Drosophila melanogaster: one gene and its partner. The protein of the gene in region 1 interacts with the protein of each later gene in a pairwise test. Each region holds a gene or a part of one and is shown on either strand. Other genes may lie near its edges.

Evidence for each region. Proteins that work in one complex are often made in the same cells at the same time.
Region 2: the proteins of Letm1 (region 1) and Jon65Aiv interact in a two-hybrid assay, tested with the Drosophila melanogaster proteins (one large-scale study listed by BioGRID).

The regions. Positions count from the first base shown.
Region 1 is NT_033778.4:24,508,028-24,519,121, reverse strand, and holds Letm1 (leucine zipper and EF-hand containing transmembrane protein 1), read left to right. Parts: upstream 1-3,801; 5' UTR 3,802-3,891; intron 3,892-4,124; exon of another isoform or gene 4,125-4,251; 5' UTR 4,252-4,513; coding exon 4,514-4,586; intron 4,587-5,950; coding exon 5,951-8,268; intron 8,269-8,328; coding exon 8,329-8,625; intron 8,626-8,682; coding exon 8,683-9,036; 3' UTR 9,037-9,614; downstream 9,615-11,094. Other genes in the region: Ir60b (ionotropic receptor 60b), read right to left, coding at 1,664-3,397. UniProt on the Drosophila melanogaster protein: Mitochondrial proton/calcium antiporter that mediates proton-dependent calcium efflux from mitochondrion.
Region 2 is NT_037436.4:6,035,200-6,041,720, reverse strand, and holds Jon65Aiv (jonah 65Aiv), read right to left. Parts: upstream 2,567-6,521; 5' UTR 2,526-2,566; coding exon 2,269-2,525; intron 2,192-2,268; coding exon 1,633-2,191; 3' UTR 1,586-1,632; downstream 1-1,585. Other genes in the region: CG6462 (uncharacterized protein), read right to left, coding at 3,651-4,610; yip7 (yippee interacting protein 7), read right to left, coding at 5,610-6,162, 6,219-6,478.

The DNA of each region.
Region 1 (11,094 bases):
TGGTACCCAATCTCGGCCAGCAATGCCAGGCAACTCACGGTAGTTCCGCCAAGAAAGCCAAGCCAGGCAAAGAGAAAATCCTCCCACTTCAGATCGGAATAGGAGTCATGAACCCAGTCCTCCTTGTAGGAGATTTTGTGGATCGCCACCAGCTCGGAAAAGCTTTTCTTGAACCAGAGCAGATAAAGTCCGGCCTCACTTGTCCGCAACCTATATTGCTTGAGGGAACTGAGGAATATTGAGTTGTTCGGCATGGTCATACCCATGATTACGAAGGGCAGAAAGACCATCTCCTTGGAGCGCCGGAAGATGGGTCGGTGCAGTTTGACTTGGGCCTGCCTTAAGAGGGGCCACAAGGTGCCCGTCACGGAGAAGGCGAAGTGCAGCTCCATGGACATCCGCTGGGTCTGAAAATCCGTGGAGTCGGCTGTCTGAAACACATCGCTGTGCGCATCCACATACTCCGCTCCCCTTATCGACTTCAGGTAGTCCATGTCCGTCGGGACCATAAGGATCTTCAGCTTGGCCCTGCGCATTTGATCGAAGTCTGTAACTGGATCACTTGTCGGGGGTTGTATGAGCCAAGCTGTGAGATAGACAATCACGTAGTTGCTCACAAAGAAGCCACTCACCAGAAGCAGCCAGTAGACAAACATTAGTTTTGGGGATAGCCCCTTCGGAAGGACGAACGCCTGTGCCAGGACTCCCCGGAGCACCGTATTGCCCATTGAACAGCACCGCCAGCTAGGAGTTAGGCCAGCTTCAAAGCGATGTGCGTTACTTAGCACGATGGCTAGAAGGATTATCAGCGGTATCAGGTATAGCGATATGCCGAACCTTATGAAGAATCGAGCTCGAGGAAGGCTGGGCTCCATGGGTAGCATGAGGAACCAGCTGGAAATCTCCATGGCGACGTCCTTGTGCAATGTCTGGAAACTGAGACTGCCCAGCCCCAAGGGGAAGTCGACGTGATTGCTTCCCGTTAGGCTGTCCATATCGAAGTCACCGTCCTCCGGGAAGAGGTCCCAGCGGATCTGCAGACTGGCGTTAATGGTGCTCACATAGTTGCGGATGAAGTGGCTGAGGTATCCGCCCATCTGCAGCTCTCCATCCTCACCTTGGTACACCATAGTTCTGGGCATGATGCCATCTGGCACAACCTTCAGGACACATCCCCCCAGATCCTCAAGCTGCGGCTCGAAGTACCGACGCACATCCTTCACCCTGCGCTTTACAACTCGAAGAGTTGGGAATGCCTTGAAGCTGTAAACGAACTCCCTAATGGAGCCATTGAACGCCTTCTAAAAGTAAAATAGTCCTGTAGCCCAGCTCATCCTCTAGAGATTTCAGCATATTTCTCAAGGAACCATCATGTGCCCCGGCCAGGCAGGCGAAAGTGAAGAATAGTGCGAGCCGCATTTCCATGGCGACTATCCGAAACGAGCTGCTAATACATACTGCCACTCTGCTGCTTTGTCCACAGGGTAATGGTTACTGCGATTAGATCTGGTATCCTTCAGTTATACCGGAAAGCAATAACAACGAGTTGTTACTTATTTTAATGGCAGTCTAGTGCCTGCATTTATGAGTGCCTTTATCCAATTAGGATTCCCAGAGCAATGCCTAATAGATATTCATAGTGTTTATTTATTCAAGTTCAATGCTAATTTTGATTTAGTTGCCACCTGTGGTATCCAATCTCGGCGAGGAGTACCAGGATACTAGCGATGGTTCCGCCCACGAAGCCCAGCCACACGTAGCTAAAGTCCTGCCACTCGAAGTCTCGATATATCTGATGATCACCATTCACTTTGTAGTGGATCTTCCGGAGGGCAACCAACTCGTTGAAGCTCCGCTTGAACCAAAACTCGTACAAGCCGCTCTGGTGGGTGAGTGCCCGGTACCGATTCAGTGACTTGTGAAACATTGAGTTCTTCGGCAAGGGCATGGCCATGATAAGCAGCGGTATGAGCACCATCTCCCGAGATCGTCGGAACTCTGGCTTCGGCAGTCGGATCTGGGCGTGCTCCAGCAGTGGCCACAAGGTGCACGTCACAGGATAGGCGTAGGATTGGTCCATAGCCAAGCGCTTGTCTTGGAAATTGCCAGATTTCGAGAGTTCGAAGAGATCGCTGTTGCTCTCCGTGAATTGCTTGCCCAGGGCTTTGGTCATGGAATCCAGCTCGGAGGGGACAATAAGGACTTTCAGGTTCAAGGTGCGCATTTGCTCCCAGCTGTGGATTGGATGTCCCGAGGGGGGATGCACGAGCCAGGTCTCCAGACTGGTGATGGAATAGTTGCTGAAGGTGAATCCATTCAGCAGGATCAGCGAGTAAACCAGCATGAGCTTGACGGAAAGCCTTCTGGGTAGGAAGAATGCTTGGCCCAGTGTTCCTTGCAGAACTCTGTCTCCCAAGACGTAGCAGCGCCAGCTAGGCCGCAAGCCCATCTCAATCCGATGGGCAGTGCTCAGGAGGATTGTGAGCAGCAGCAGCACTGGCGTTACCTTCTCAAAACCCAACATGATGAAAAATTGAGCCCGAGAAAGGGAGGGCTCCATGGGCAGCATGAGGAACCAGCTGGAGACCTCCAAAGGAACGTTTTGGCTCGTCGACCCGTGCTCAATGCCATGCATGCCCAGTGGGAAATCCACATCATGGATCTCCGAGAGCCTGACTACCTCACCTAACTGGATCATGCCGTCCTCGGGAACCAGATGCCAGCAGACCTTGAGGGTTGCGTTAATGGTGCTCACATAGTTCCGCAGGAAGGGGTACAGATATCCAGCCAGCTGGCGACTTCCATCCGGGCTCTTGTAGACAACGGTGCGCGGGATAATGTTGTCGGGCAGAGTAGTGAGGGTATGGCCACCCAGATCTTCGAGTTGCTGCTCGAAGTACTGGAGGATGTCCATAACGTTGCGCTCTATGACACGAAATGTGGGAAAAGCCCGAAAGCTGTAGACGAACCCCCTGTCCAATCCTTTGAAAGCCAAGACATTAAGCATTTTTCTTCGCAGACACTCCAGAAAGACATCCTGGACTTTGGAATCCGAAAGGACGAATAGTATGGTGGGCGTGTCGCGCATATCCTCGAGATTTTCGTAAAGAGCCTGCATGGTGCTCTCAACGTTTTCGTTTAGGCAAACTAGTGCCAGTATATTCGTATTAAGCGCATCTTTAAGATACAAACTTTGATTCGCATTAAAGTTCAGAATTGGCACCGCTCCTTGAATGTACTTCTGCTCCCAACACGATTCAATTTCACTCGCACTTTCTACGAGGAGAATCGCTCTGTACTGCAACTCATTCTCGAGAGCATTCAGAATGTATCTTAGGGATACGCAGTGAACGTCCACCAATCCGATGGCTATGATCAGATACAAACTCCGCCTCATTTTCGAGTTGTCTGCTCTGGAGTGCGGAATCAAGTAGACTGCACGAGTTCTCAGGGTTTTTGGGTAATTAAGAAGTTAAGTCGTATAACTGCCGGAAAAGTACGCATTGTTTTTGGAACAATGGTTAATCGTATGTCATAGGATTTAATTGGAGCTGTGTGTTAATCGAAAGTGGTCTATTTTTGTTAAGAACAAGCTATAAAATGCTAAGCTAGATAAAAAAAAGGTTAAAGTTGCAATATATGTTGCTATTGAAGATGCTTCGATTTAATTCTTCATTTCATGCATTTCTTCAAATACATGGCTCTACATTTTACACAACTATTTTACATCGTTAGTTACATTACATGTGTCTGTAAGCGCAGGAGTCCCCCTAACTATGGCAATTAACATTTGGTATTTTTTAGCACTCGCAGAACGGTCTCTCTGATGTCAAACGTGAGAAAAGTGAAAAAACAGACGGTTTAGTTTAGATTTTATTATTTACTAGCACGGTAGGAATGACAAATGGATTACATATAAGCTGCACTGAGGGCTCGATGTAATCGGCGGCTAAATTATAGGCGTGATTTAACCGGTTGTCACTCGCACGAAATGCGATACTTCGAAATTTGTTGCTGTGTTGTGTAATTTGGTGTGAAGGAGTGTGCGAGGCAAAAACAAAAACAAATCAAGATCGCGCGATATTGCGTCGATGACGTAGCTCAGTGCGTGCGTGCGTGTGTGTGTGTGTGTATGCCTGTGTGTGTTTTTGCAGCCGAAAACCAATTTGGGATCTAATCAATGTATTGACTTTTAACCAAATCGGCAGTAGGCTAAACCAGAATTCCCACCTTCTATTTACTTTCCATTAGGCGAGAATCGTGGGAAGGAACCCGTTACTTGCGCCAACGAAAGTGGAACAGAGAAGCACAGCGAGGACGGTTACAAGCGAAATCAGAGAAAAACAAAGGCGAAATAAGGCAAAAGCAATCAGAAGTCGAGCGACAGAGAACCCAAAGATACACAATCCACAGACAGTTTGTCGGAAATTCAAAATTCCATTTGAAAATACTTTGGATTCGGTTTGGAGGCCGAGCCTAGCCACGCCCCCCTGCACCACCACCCGCCACCGCCATGAACGCCCTGCTGCGTCACAAGGGACGCAATCTGCGGACGAGTCACTTGGCCCAGAATGTCTACAAGCGCTGTAAGTTGGCCAAAACTGGGAAGCGAAGGCGAAATCGCGTGAAAACTTTCCATTCGCGTGTGTGTTAGCGGGCATTTTGTTATGACTGCACTTTCGCTGGAAAGAACAGCTGACTGGCTGGAAACTGCGACGTGCGCTGGAAGTTATGTAGTGGGGGGCTTCGAATTTATTTGTTTTCGAGTAAACACCAAATTTATCATTCATTCCTAGAGTTCTTACCGGTTTCGGAGCTCTACTGACGTATCAGTGCTTCGAAAACTTAGCTGCTAATTTAATTATTCGTATTGTTTTCAACGATTTGTTGACTTTGGATCGCGACAACTGGCAATCTTATCTTTCAGCCTATACATATGGCTTAATTTCGATAATATAATTTCTTTATCTTCAACATCTTGCACCACACGCCGAATGGTTCTTTTAGGTTATAAAAGATGGGATTATTCTTATAGACCTTGGACAATTTTTGTATCTACTGGTGACTTATAATGCGACAGATTCAGATTTCGTAGGAAATCACCTGCCAGGGAAGAGGCCCAAAGACCAGCCAGGTACCAGCAAGACCAGACAAAGAGGCACCTGCGGGAAAGTACAGTCATAGTCCAGAGCAGATAGTATTGTTTACCCACAATTGAAACAATCATAGAGACTTGAAATAGGTCGGAATTACCCGCACCTTCTCCACAGCAGTTCCTCTTCTTGTTTCCCCTCCTTCGACTCAATTGCAAAATCATTTACCTTGAGCGTTTGCCAAGAATCGGAAAATCAAAAAAGAGAAGACAAAAGGAAAAGTGCGCTGTAAACAAATGCAGTCGACGCGGCCGTCTGAATGTTTGCTAAGCATGTATTTATAGAGGTTGAGAATTCTCACCGGTTGTGCGAATTTTCGTTTTCTCGCTCTGGGATTTATGTAAGCTCCACTCCAGGTGCTAATTTATCTGGTCTGTCGTCGGCAATCTTTGCCTTTCTATTATCAACTATCGAGCTCACTGAAAATCCCAACAAAATCTATAGTCAAGCGGCAGTGCGCTTATCAACCACAAACTTTTCCCATTTTTTGTAGCTATGATTAATAACTCATTAGGTGTTATTTCTTTCGTTCTTTGTTTCCTTATTTTCCTTTGGCCCTTCATCTGCTCTTATTTTTATTAAAACATGAAAGGCTGTTCGGGAAATCGTATGGAATCAGGTTATTGACCTGAAAGATTCCTTTGTGAGAATATTACATTGTTTTATTTCTTTGTTGTAATTTAATCGGATATACAGAAATCACTTGAACTTTCCAGTTTTTAAATATAGCTATACTTATCTTACTAACTTCGTATTATTTTTCTTACTTAACATATTTTTCAATATTTTTTTTGCAGTTCTTAAATCGAACTGTTGCGCATGCAGTTCGGTGAACGTCACAGATGAACCCGCCAAAGAAGATGAACTACCGCGAAGATCTGCTTCGACCTCGGTGCTGGAGCTAAGCAGATCGCTTGGCACTTACCGAAGGTTTCAGCCACATGCCAACTATGGATACGACTACTCCGGCTATGGATTTAGGCATCTGCATACGAGCCGGACTTTGCTGGAGACGTCCAGCTCAAAGATCGACGCAACAGTCAAGAAGCTGAAAAACCAGCAGAAGGAGAAGGTGGAGGAGATCATGAAGGAGGTGGCCAATGGACAGGCCGCGGCAGTTCGTGCCAGCAGTGCCGCTACCGCCACGGCCTCCTCGGAGAAGGGTCAAAACGCTAGTGCGACCGCGGGCTCCACGTCGGCGACTGCCTCAACGACGTCTTTGGCCAAGACCGCAGACAAGTCGGTGGCCAAGCCAAAGAAACCACTCCGCACACGGATTTGGGATGAGCTGGTGCACTATTACCACGGCTTTAGGCTGCTCTTCATCGATGTGGCAATTTGCTCTAAGCTCCTTTGGCGAGTGCTCAACGGCAAGACGCTCACGCGGCGCGAGAACAAGCAGCTTCAGCGGACCACCTCTGACTTGTTCCGTCTGATCCCCTTTTCGGTGTTCATCATCGTGCCCTTCATGGAGCTGCTGCTGCCGTTGTTCATAAAATTCTTCCCCGGCATGCTGCCCTCCACGTTCCAGACTTCGACCGATCGACAGGAGAAGCTCCGGCAGTCACTTAGCGTTCGCCTGGAGGTGGCCAAGTTCTTGCAGCAGACCCTAGATCAGATGCCCGTCCAGCACAAGGAACACAGCAGCGAAGAGGCCAAGCAGTTCGAGGCCTTTTTCACTAAAATCCGGAATCCCACTGAACCAGTGAGCAACGATGAAATCATCAAATTCGCCAAGCGATTCGACGATGAGATCACCTTAGATTCACTGTCCCGGGAGCAATTGGCGGCTCTTTGTCGCGTCCTTGAACTGAACACAATTGGCACCACCACGCTGCTGCGGTTCCAGCTGCGTCTGAAGCTGAGATCTTTGGCCACCGATGACCGCGTTATTGCCCGCGAAGGAGTCGACTCCCTGGACCTTCTAGAGCTGCAACAGGCGTGCAAGGCACGTGGAATGCGGGCATATGGCCTAACGGAGGAGCGTCTTCGTTTTCAGCTTAAGGAGTGGATAGATCTCTCCCTGAACGAACAGGTACCGCCTACGCTGCTGCTCCTGTCAAGAACCATGCTTATTTCCGACGACAGCATCACCACCGATAAGCTCAAGGAGACGATTCGTGTGCTACCGGATGCAGTGGGTGCCCACACACGGCACGCTATCGGGGAGAGTGAGGGCAAGGTGGACAACAAGACGAAGATCGAAATCATCAAGGAGGAGGAGCGCAAGATTCGCGAAGAGCGCGAGGAAGAGCGGGAAGAGACCATCGCAAAACGATCGGCCATCAAGGAGGAGATTCCCGCTCCTTATGTATTTGCTGAGAAGTTGTCGGGTTCCCAGGATCTTCTGGATCACAAGGAACAGTCCTCGGTGTCCGAGACGGACAAGGGCATTTCCTCTACCGATGTACAGCTGCTGTCTGAGGCCCTAAAGACACTCTCATCTGATAAACAGCTCGTGGTGGAAAAGGAAACAATCAAGGAACTCAAGGAGGAATTGGCCGACTATAAGGAGGATGTGGAGGAGCTACGCGAGGTGCGACAGGTAGTCAAGGAGCCTGTGCGCGAAAGCCGGGCGGCCAAGTTGCTCTACAATCGGGTCAACAAGATGATTTCCCAACTCGATAATGTGCTTAACGACCTAGAGGCCAGGCAGCATCAAATCAAGCAGGCGGAATCCTCTGATTACGCGGCGTCCAGTCCCACTGTGGAACCACAGCAAATGGTGCACATTGACGAGCTGGTCGCCACCATCCGGCGAATGAAGGAGGCATCCGATGAAGAGCGATTCAAGGTTGTCGGGGATCTGCTGGTCAAACTCGACGCGGACAAAGACGGTGTGATTTCGGTGAACGAGATCACCAAGGCGGTGCAGAGCATCGACCGCGAGGCCACGAATATCGACAAGAAGCAGCTGGAGGAGTTTACCGAGCTACTTTCCAAGTTGGCGTCCCGGCGACGACACGAGGAGATCGTGCACATCGACGATTTAATGAATAACATCAAGGTGTTGAAGGAAACTAGCGATGAGGCACGACTTAAGCACATCGAAGCTGTACTGGAGAAATTTGATGCCGACAAGGATGGCGTGGTGACCGTCAACGATATTCGTAAGGTAATAAAATCATGTTCCTTAGGCTGAACATACACTCAATTGGTTTGGTGTTCCTTACAGGTGTTGGAATCCATTGGTCGTGATAACATCAAGCTGAGCGACAAGGCCATTGAGGAACTCATCAGTCTGCTTGACAAGGAGCAAGTACTGCAGGCAGAGCAGAAGATTGAGAAGGCCATTGCTAAGAGCATGAAAGAGGCTGAGAAACTGAAGTCTGAGGTGGACAAAGCGGATAAGGACTTGTCCAAGCTTGTTAATGATATTCACGATTCCGCCAAGGAGATTCAGGATATTGCCAACGAGATGCGTGATAAGGAGGAAACTGTGCCCGATAAAGCGAAGGAGCTAAAAGCAGAGGTAAGTCTTTGGTTTTGACATACAGTGGTCAGCGTTCTAACAGATCAGTTTATTTAGCCCGCATTCAAGGATACGGCCAAAACATTGAAGGACAACGCAAAGGACCTGGACGATTTAGCGAAGGACCCAAAGTCAGACCCCAAATCCCCGACAAAGGCTTCTACAGGGTCCGGTCCAGCCGGACTGTCAGGTGGAGGCCCCAGCAGTGGCAGTAGCGGTATTGCCACCGGATCAACGACGGAATCAGCGCTCCGAGAGGCGGCCGAGCGTCAAATGGAAAAGATCCTGCCCTCCACAGACATTGGTCTGCCCCCCACGATACAAACACCATCGCAACCACCGACGTCAAAAAAAGCAACGGCCACTGCGTCGACCCTGTCCACGACGATAACGGCCAAGAAACTGCTCTGACCAGTCAGACGGTCCAAGAAGGGAGATGCTGAGACAACTCTTAAGCGTGAACCTAAGCCGAAGTGATGTGTTGGAGTAGGGGCGGTGGCGGTGTTGCTCGTGTGTCCCATATTGTTCCGACTATGCAATGAATTAACTGTTACCATTTAACATAAACGTAGCAGGATGAGGAGAGTTTGCTATACTTAACGCGTGGCTGTAGTACGGTATCTTCTTTAAGTAAGGCACAAATCAGAAACTACTAGAAATACATAAGAATGTACACTTTACACATATATCTTGATTTCCAACGACCTAGTTTTACATAAAACCCATTCGAAGCAAGTTGTTTGTAGCTCCTTTTTATTTGGCCCAAATTTGCGAAGCGATTGTGATCATTAGGCGAAATGTTAATTTACGACTTATTCATCTATTAATACGTACGTATATCTATCAAGCAAGTTGATTCGCCCGACCGGTTTTCAGGTAATACCGAAAGGTGGCGAGACATTGGAGAATAATTAAAACCACGTGATAGATCTAAACAATAATGTGTGTGCTTGACTTAGCAAACTGAATTTGTAAAAGTGTTTCGCAATAAAAGTTAGTATAAAAACAAAAGACGAACTGTAATTACGGGAAAACGAGTCGGAAAGTGCCCTATTATCTGTGAACTCGCCTTGAATGCCGATGCACAAGTTCTAAACGGCTATATCACCAATTTCCTAGAAACTACTGCTGAATGGCCATTCGGGACTTTAAATGACTGACTCCGACCGAACAATTGCTTTTACGAACCGCATTGATTGCTCAGAATTATATTTTTGCATTGTTTATTTCCTCGAGGGCGGGATGGTGTTCCACAACCGCACCCAAAAACCCGGACTTGCCAACTGGCCAGCAGTGATTCGGAATCGACAACCGCAGAACCCAAACTTTTACGGCCAAGTTAGTTTTGTCCGATGGGGTGCGGGTGGGGGGGGGGGGGTGGGGGGGCACTGCATGTTCAGCATCATATCCTGGGCTATTGAAGTAATAAAAATTACCACAAAATGTTCCAAAATTCCATCTTTGCCTGCCCGCTGACCCATAAATTCCCATCATATTCAGCGAGGGCCAAGAAAGTGTGGTATTCGTAAAGCATTCGGCTCCCAGCTATGTTGGCCTCTTTTCGGCCAAATAAATTAAATATGGCCCTGCGTAGGATTAGTAACTTGTGTATGCCCCAGCATTAATCAATCCCAGTTTGTGCGTAAACATGCGAAACTTTCGACCAGCAGCGAAATCGAAAACAAATAGACGCAAAGCGCTGGAAAAGAATACAGCGGAAATTTATTTAAAGGTAAATAGAACCGACAAAACGCGAAACAAGCCAAATAATAATAAACTTCAGTTCCGCTGGGAGGGAACTGTTGTTTGCAATCAGGCAAGCCCGACCATCCAACCATCCAACCACCGAACAACCCAACAGCCCAACAACCAGGAACCGCAGACAGACCAGAGGATCCGAGGAGCCGGTGATCCGGAGGGGTCGGTCGCTGGTCGGAATATGCTGGATGGGCAGGACGGGAAAGTTGGCAGAGCGTCTTGGTCGGCGAAAGTTTGCGCAGCTCAAAGTGCTTCGGATGCAACAATGAAACTCGAAATCTGCCATGAATGGTCTGAAGTGCAGACAATCAGCGACAGAGGACAGAGGACACAGGACAAGCGAACCGGGTGAACTTAAAGCATTGCGCCATGGAACGAAGTTAGTAAGTTTTAGAGCCAACGCTCGGAGAATGCTCATTCCAGTGGCGGGTTGGCGGAAAAATTGCAAAATTATTTGAAGAAATGTTACAAAACAATTAAAAAGTTGCCGACTTTCATGAGTCAATCAAAAGAGAGGCAGCCGCAACGAGTTCCGCTGCGAGAAGTTGCCCAACTTTGGCCCACTTTGAATGTCAGACAACAAGCATACGCCCCGTTGTACGTCATGCGAGCGGCAGACTAATGCAATTGTCCTTGCTGGATTTCATTTTCCGTCCAACTTGAAAACTGCTGCACTTTCGAAAGCGCCAAAACAACAAAGGTCGGCCTGTC
Region 2 (6,521 bases), on another chromosome or scaffold:
AAACGCAGCCATCATCATATAGACCGATAAGCTTACTAACATGTCTTTCAAAGCTGTTTGAAAAAATGCTACTCCTTCGGATTAGCCCTCATCTTAGAATAAACAACACACTTCCAACACATCAATTTGGCTTTAGAGAAAAACATGGAACCATCGAACAGGTCAACCGAATCACGTCAGAAATTCGTACTGCTTTTGAACATCGAGAATACTGCACAGCCATTTTTCTAGACGTCGCGCAGGCATTTGACAGAGTGTGGCTCGATGGACTTTTGTTTAAAATAATCAAGCTGTTGCCCCAAAACACACATAAGCTACTGAAGTCATACCTATATAACAGAGTGTTTGCAATAAGATGCGATACAAGCACTTCACGCGATTGCGCAATCGAAGCTGGAGTGCCGCAAGGCAGTGTACTGGGTCCAATCTTATACACCCTGTATACGGCGGATTTCCCCATAGACTACAATCTAACAACCTCCACGTTCGCTGATGATACCGCGATACTCAGTCGCTCGAAATGCCCAATAAAAGCCACGGCACTCCTATCCCGACACTTAACATCTGTAGAACGATGGCTTGCCGACTGGAGAATTTCAATAAATGTTCAAAAATGCAAGCAGGTTACCTTTACCTTAAACAAACAAACATGCCCACCACTGGTCTTGAATAACATATGCATTCCACAAGCCGACGAGGTAACATATCTGGGAGTTCATCTGGACAGGCGGCTCACTTGGCGCAAACATATAGAAGCCAAATCGAAACATCTTAAACTTAAAGCAAGGAACCTCCACTGGCTCATAAATGCTCGCTCTCCACTTAGTCTGGAGTTCAAAGCTCTTCTATACAACTCCGTCTTAAAACCTATCTGGACTTATGGCTCCGAGCTGTGGGGCAACGCATCCAGAAGTAACATAGACATTATTCAGCGAGCACAGTCAAGAATTCTGAGAATTATCACTGGAGCGCCGTGGTACCTTCGGAACGAAAACATACACAGAGACCTAAAAATCAAATTAGTAATCGAAGTAATAGCTGAGAAAAAAACGAAGTATAACGAAAAGCTGACCACCCATACAAATCCCCTCGCAAGAAAACTAATCCGAGTATGCAGTCAAAGCCGGCTGCACCGCAACGACCTCCCAGCCCAGCAATAAACTTATTAGGGCATTAATGAAAAAAAAAAACTATCACTAAGTGAAAGTTAATTAAGTTAGATTAAGATTTGAACACTTATTGTTAGTCTCTTAACACAAAGGGAAGATTCAATAAATAATAAAAATTAATAAAAAAAAAAAAAAATTGTGTCGCTTGGCAATTTAATGAATTTTAATGAGAACTTACTCGCCGAATGCCAGTAACAGCTTGGTTCTGCATTCATTTTCATTTGTCTGTTTTGTGATGATTTTTGATTTTAGACAAAAGCATATGTACAAGACGATATGGATTGTTACTATAACCGACGACCCTCAAACTGGGAACATAAGTTCTCTTTTGATCTATATTGAGTAAAGAAATTTATAAATGAAGATCTACGTTTCCGAAATTCCCCCTATAGAGCTATAAAACTTTTGAATTTTTTAGAAATGATTTTTATTTTTAAGCGAAATTGTAGTTCCTGACTCCTTCCTAGATGCCAGTGTTAGTCTTGATCCAGTCCAGGTAGCTGGTCACACGAGTGAAGGCAGCGGGGTAGCCCTTCTCGCAACCGGCAGAGGCACCGAATGAGGTCAGACCGATCTGCTCGCTGGACGACTTGAGGACCAGAGGACCGCCGGAGTCACCGTTGCAGGTGGACTTGGCGTCGGTGGTGGCCACGCAGAGGGTTGAGTCGGTCACGACCGAGGTGCCGTAGGTTTGGGCGCACTTGGTGTTGGTGATCACAGTCAGGTCGACATACTGAAGATTGGTAGCCACACCACTGGAGGTGTCACTGGTGCGTCCCCATCCGGAGGCGACAGCGACGTCACCGACGAAGGTCGAGTAGGAGTTGGAGATGCTTGGCAGCTTGACGGCGGAGATCCTGCTGCTGGAGGAGGTGGCGGGGATCTTGATCAGGGAGATGTCGTTGCGCAGGTTAGCGCTGTTCCAGCCGGAGTGGATGATGATGTCGGAGCTGGACACGGTGTGGGTGATCTCGGCGGAGGTGCGCACGGTGGCGCCCAAGTAGACGGTCACGGACTGAACTCTGCGATAAATCAAACATACAATTGGTTAGGACATTGGTTCCAAGATATTTTCGGCATTCCTTCAAGGGACACTCACCCATCGGTACAGTGAGCAGCGGTCAGGACCCAGGTGCTGCCGATCAGAGAACCACCGCACCAGGCGCTGGACAGAGCACTCAGCTTCAGGGAAAGTCCCACCTGGTAGGGGAACTGGCCGACGGCGGCGTTGCTTCCTCCGGTGATGCGACCTCCAATGTCGCCAACGACGGGCATCTCGCGGCTGCGATGGCGCAGCTCCGGCTCGGGGAAAGCGGAGGCGGCCACAGCCAGGGCAAGGATGATCAGGAACTTCATCTTGGGAATTGTTGCTTGTTCAGTTAAGGGAACTCAACTGTTTGGCCAAGGACCAGCTGGGGTCTTTTATACTGGCCAAGTCGCGTCTGCGATTGGGTTGCAATTCAGAAATAGAGCTGTCCCGATTAGATAGGACCACTAAAGTCGGTTCGAACTACCTTATCTGTTGAGATTTTGTGCCGAAGATATGAATGAATGAACTTCAGCCACACGGTCGCCAAAATTACTTTCCCAATCCAAGAGTATTAATCCCGATACGGATCTAATCAGGGCTATGGGCTTCGAGTGGATTTCCAGATCGAGCCGCTGCGATACCAAAGGCCTAGCATGGGGTTGCTAATTAATTTGATTAGTTTTACACATACGCGATATATACATAACTATATATTGCGATACAAAATTGGCAAAGGTTTGCTTTGCTCTTCAGCGTATCTTATAATTCCCATGGTAGTCGAGTGCTATCTTATCTCCTGTCTATAGGGTGAGAAGCCGTAAGCCCACAGTTTAGTTGGGTTTGTTTACCTTCGATAAAGGTCAAGGAGTAGGACGTGAGTTGGTCAAGACTGCTTAAACTTCATAGGAAATCATACCGCCGTCTAACAATTGCGTATCTGGACTCTCTCTTTGATTACAAACACGCAAATTTCAGTTGTTTTCGCAACCGCAGCCTTCTTTATCAGCGAAAGCCGCGTGATTTTATGACGCGTTCAACCGACCACATCACTGCGGTTAATAGCCAATTCAGATGGCCAATTGAAGGCGATTAGCGGGAGGAGGCGCTGCGGTCTGTACCCAATATGCCCTCACCAAAAACGGACACTCAACCCAATGATTTCAATTTCAGTGGCGATTCATCAGCAATTTCCATGGCAATGTAATTTTTCTTTTGTGCCCTTATTGAGCTCCCCAAATTGACTTGCTCTTCTGCAATGCCGAAATGTTTATTGTTATTTATCGGTAACAATTTTCATTCAAGAGAAAACAACCACACATAAAATGGACCATTTGCACCTTCCTTTCTCGACAGAAGAACCTGTTTTGGTTTCATTGCTCAAATTGGTTTTATTGTCTGGGCCGACTATATTGTTTAGCAATTAATGGGCTGCAATTAGGCGTTAATTGCATTTAGTTGGTCATTGCCGTTTGCTGTCGGATCCATGGCAAATATGCGGTTATCCTGGTGTAGACAGTGGGACCCCCCACCTCGCATCCTTCGGCACTGCCGAACGAGGTGACCCCAATCAGGTAGCTAACATTGCGCCAGTGGTACACAACGGGGCCACCGGAGTCGCCATTGCAGGCACCACGTCCATTGCTTCCATCGGTGCACAGGTGACGTCGCTGGCTAACCAATCCTGGCAGGAAATAGCAGATGCAGCGTTCCTGATCGATCACCTCCGCATCTAAGTACTGGAGGAGTCGCGTCCGTTTGTCGGTTGAATCTCCCAAGTAACCCCAGCCAGATAGGGTCACCACTTTGCCTACCAGAAAGTTTTGATGCATGAACTCCCCAGCCAACTCAATGGGTTGCACTTGTTCTGAAGTTCTGACTTTTCTTGGCAGTCGTATTAAAGCCAAGTCACTATATCCTCCAAATCCCAAGTAATCAGGATAAATAATGAAATCTCTATGCGTGACTTGTAACTCCTCCACGGAGTCTTCTACATCGGCAAATACGGTGGCGCCCGTGTATATCTTTGCAGCTATGGCATCGGTCAGACAATGGGCTGCAGTCAAAACAAATTGAAGAGTGATAAGGGAACCACCGCACTTGACCAGATCTGCGCCACTCAGCTGAATCACCAGACCCACTTGATAGGGAAACATGCCGCGCGTGGCCAATTCTCCTCCAGCTATTCGAGTTCTCACAGCAGCGGTTTGATTACCTTCCATCTCGAATTTTTCGCAGCGAAGTCGAAAGTTTTCGTAGCCAAGCTGCCAACGTCTTTCCATGATTGCATCGTCATCGTCCGGTGTCTCCTCTTTGGGGTGCTCAAAAGTATCTAGCCAAGGCTCACTTGATTTAACTAGTGTGGATGATAGAAGTAGCAGGAAGAAAGCACTTGTAGCCTGGTATTGCGCCATTTTATCACTACGGAATTGAAAAAATAATATGGGGAATACCTGTTATTGCATTCTATACTATATCTTTTAAATGTAATATTTCCTTTTTCTGACCAAATTCATAGAATACCCCCCGCCCCCCCCCCCCCCTTAAATATGTGAATAGGAAACTCTATTCATTATGTTGAATGAAATTTATGAATGAATTGCCTTTTTATTTACATATATTATATATATAGCTGATGTTCCTCGTAATGAGTTAGTCCAAGTTCAGGTCTGAGTGGGCTCTTCACGTGAAGTACTGGGCTTGTTGTTGTATTTGCTGGTGTTTTTATAGTCAGCGATTGTGGCATCGACATTGCGTCATCGACTTGGATGCGGCACGTGTCCGCATCGTTTGTTAATTGAATTTGCTTGGGCCGAGTGCAAATTATACGGAGACGGGAGGAGCAGCAGATGTTTGGCATTCAATTCCTCCAGCTACCGTGTAATTGCCGCACGTTTTGGCGATTATGTTGCTTAGGCTAGGCCTTCGTCTCCCTTTGGCATACTGCAGTTTCCTTAATTGCTTTCGAACCCCCCATTTTCCCGGGTCCTCAATTGCACGATTTCAGTCTTAGCCCCCAACATTGGCCAGAATGTCTGGGTCGGGGTCTCTGTATTTATTGACTGTCGTTTTATCAACGCTTAGTTTATTATTTGTTTAATTTACTGCACACCTTCGCCTGCATTTCGACACATGAAAGGCCATTGATAATTTTCCTGGAGTTGAATGGCTGTGGGGTTTTACAATCCAAGGCCCCGATTTCGTCACCGATCATAAAGTACCCACTTTGGCGATATCAAAAGCCAGAAGTGTATTAAGTTAGTCTATAAGAGTTATTATGAAATCTGATTCATTAAACGGTAAGAGAGTAGATCTCAATCTCTAGACATTATTTAAAAGTCTAACATGTGTAAAATCATGATTACAGTTTTATTTATAATATTTTGCAGTTTTCATATTTCATACTTCAACACTTAGATACCGGAAGTTTCCTTGATCCAATCGCGATAGTAAGTGATACGGGTGAAAGCAGCTGGTGCGCCAGACTCGCAACCATCAGCGGATCCAAAGGAGGTGGCACCGATGAGGACACCATCGAGAGCCAATGGGCCGCCGGAATCACCCTGGCAGGTGGAGGCCTTGTTGGTGGTGTCAACGCAGAGGACCCTGCTGGTCACGATCAGGCTTCCGAAGGTTTCCTGGCATTTGGAGTTGGAGATGATGGTAAGGTCCACGTACTGCAGATCGCGAGACACGGCGGTGGCTTGGTCGGAGGTGAGACCCCATCCGGAGGCAACAGCGGTCTTTCCCTCGTAGGTGGAGTAGCTGTTGGAGACGGCGGGCAGGCTGATCTTGTTCACGGTAGCCGAGAAGGACACGGACGAAGTCTGGATCAGGGAGATGTCGTTGCGGATGGTCAAAGCCAGGTAGCTTTCGTGCTGCCTAAACTTTGAGCTGCTGACGACTTGGGTGAACTCGGGGCTAGTACGGACAGTGGCACCGTAGTAGATGGTCACGGAGGCGGCACTATATTGGAAATACTCTCATTAGACCTGGTCTTGAAGGACGGAAAATGCACTTACCCGTCGGTACAGTGAGCAGCAGTCAGCACCCACTCGTTTCCGATGATGGAGCCACCGCACCACCAACTGCCAGCAGAGCTGGAGAAACTAAGTCCCACCTGGTAGGGGAACTGGCCGGCAACGGCGTCCTTGCCGTTGGTGATGCGACCGGTGATGGATGGGGTCGAGACCCTGTCACGGGGATGTACAGGGGCAATATTGGGCAGGAGCCCAGCGGAGGCGGAGGCCAGAGCCAGAACCAAAACTACGAAAACCTTCATGCTGATGGTTGCTCAAACTATGAGTGATTTTCCCTTTCCAACA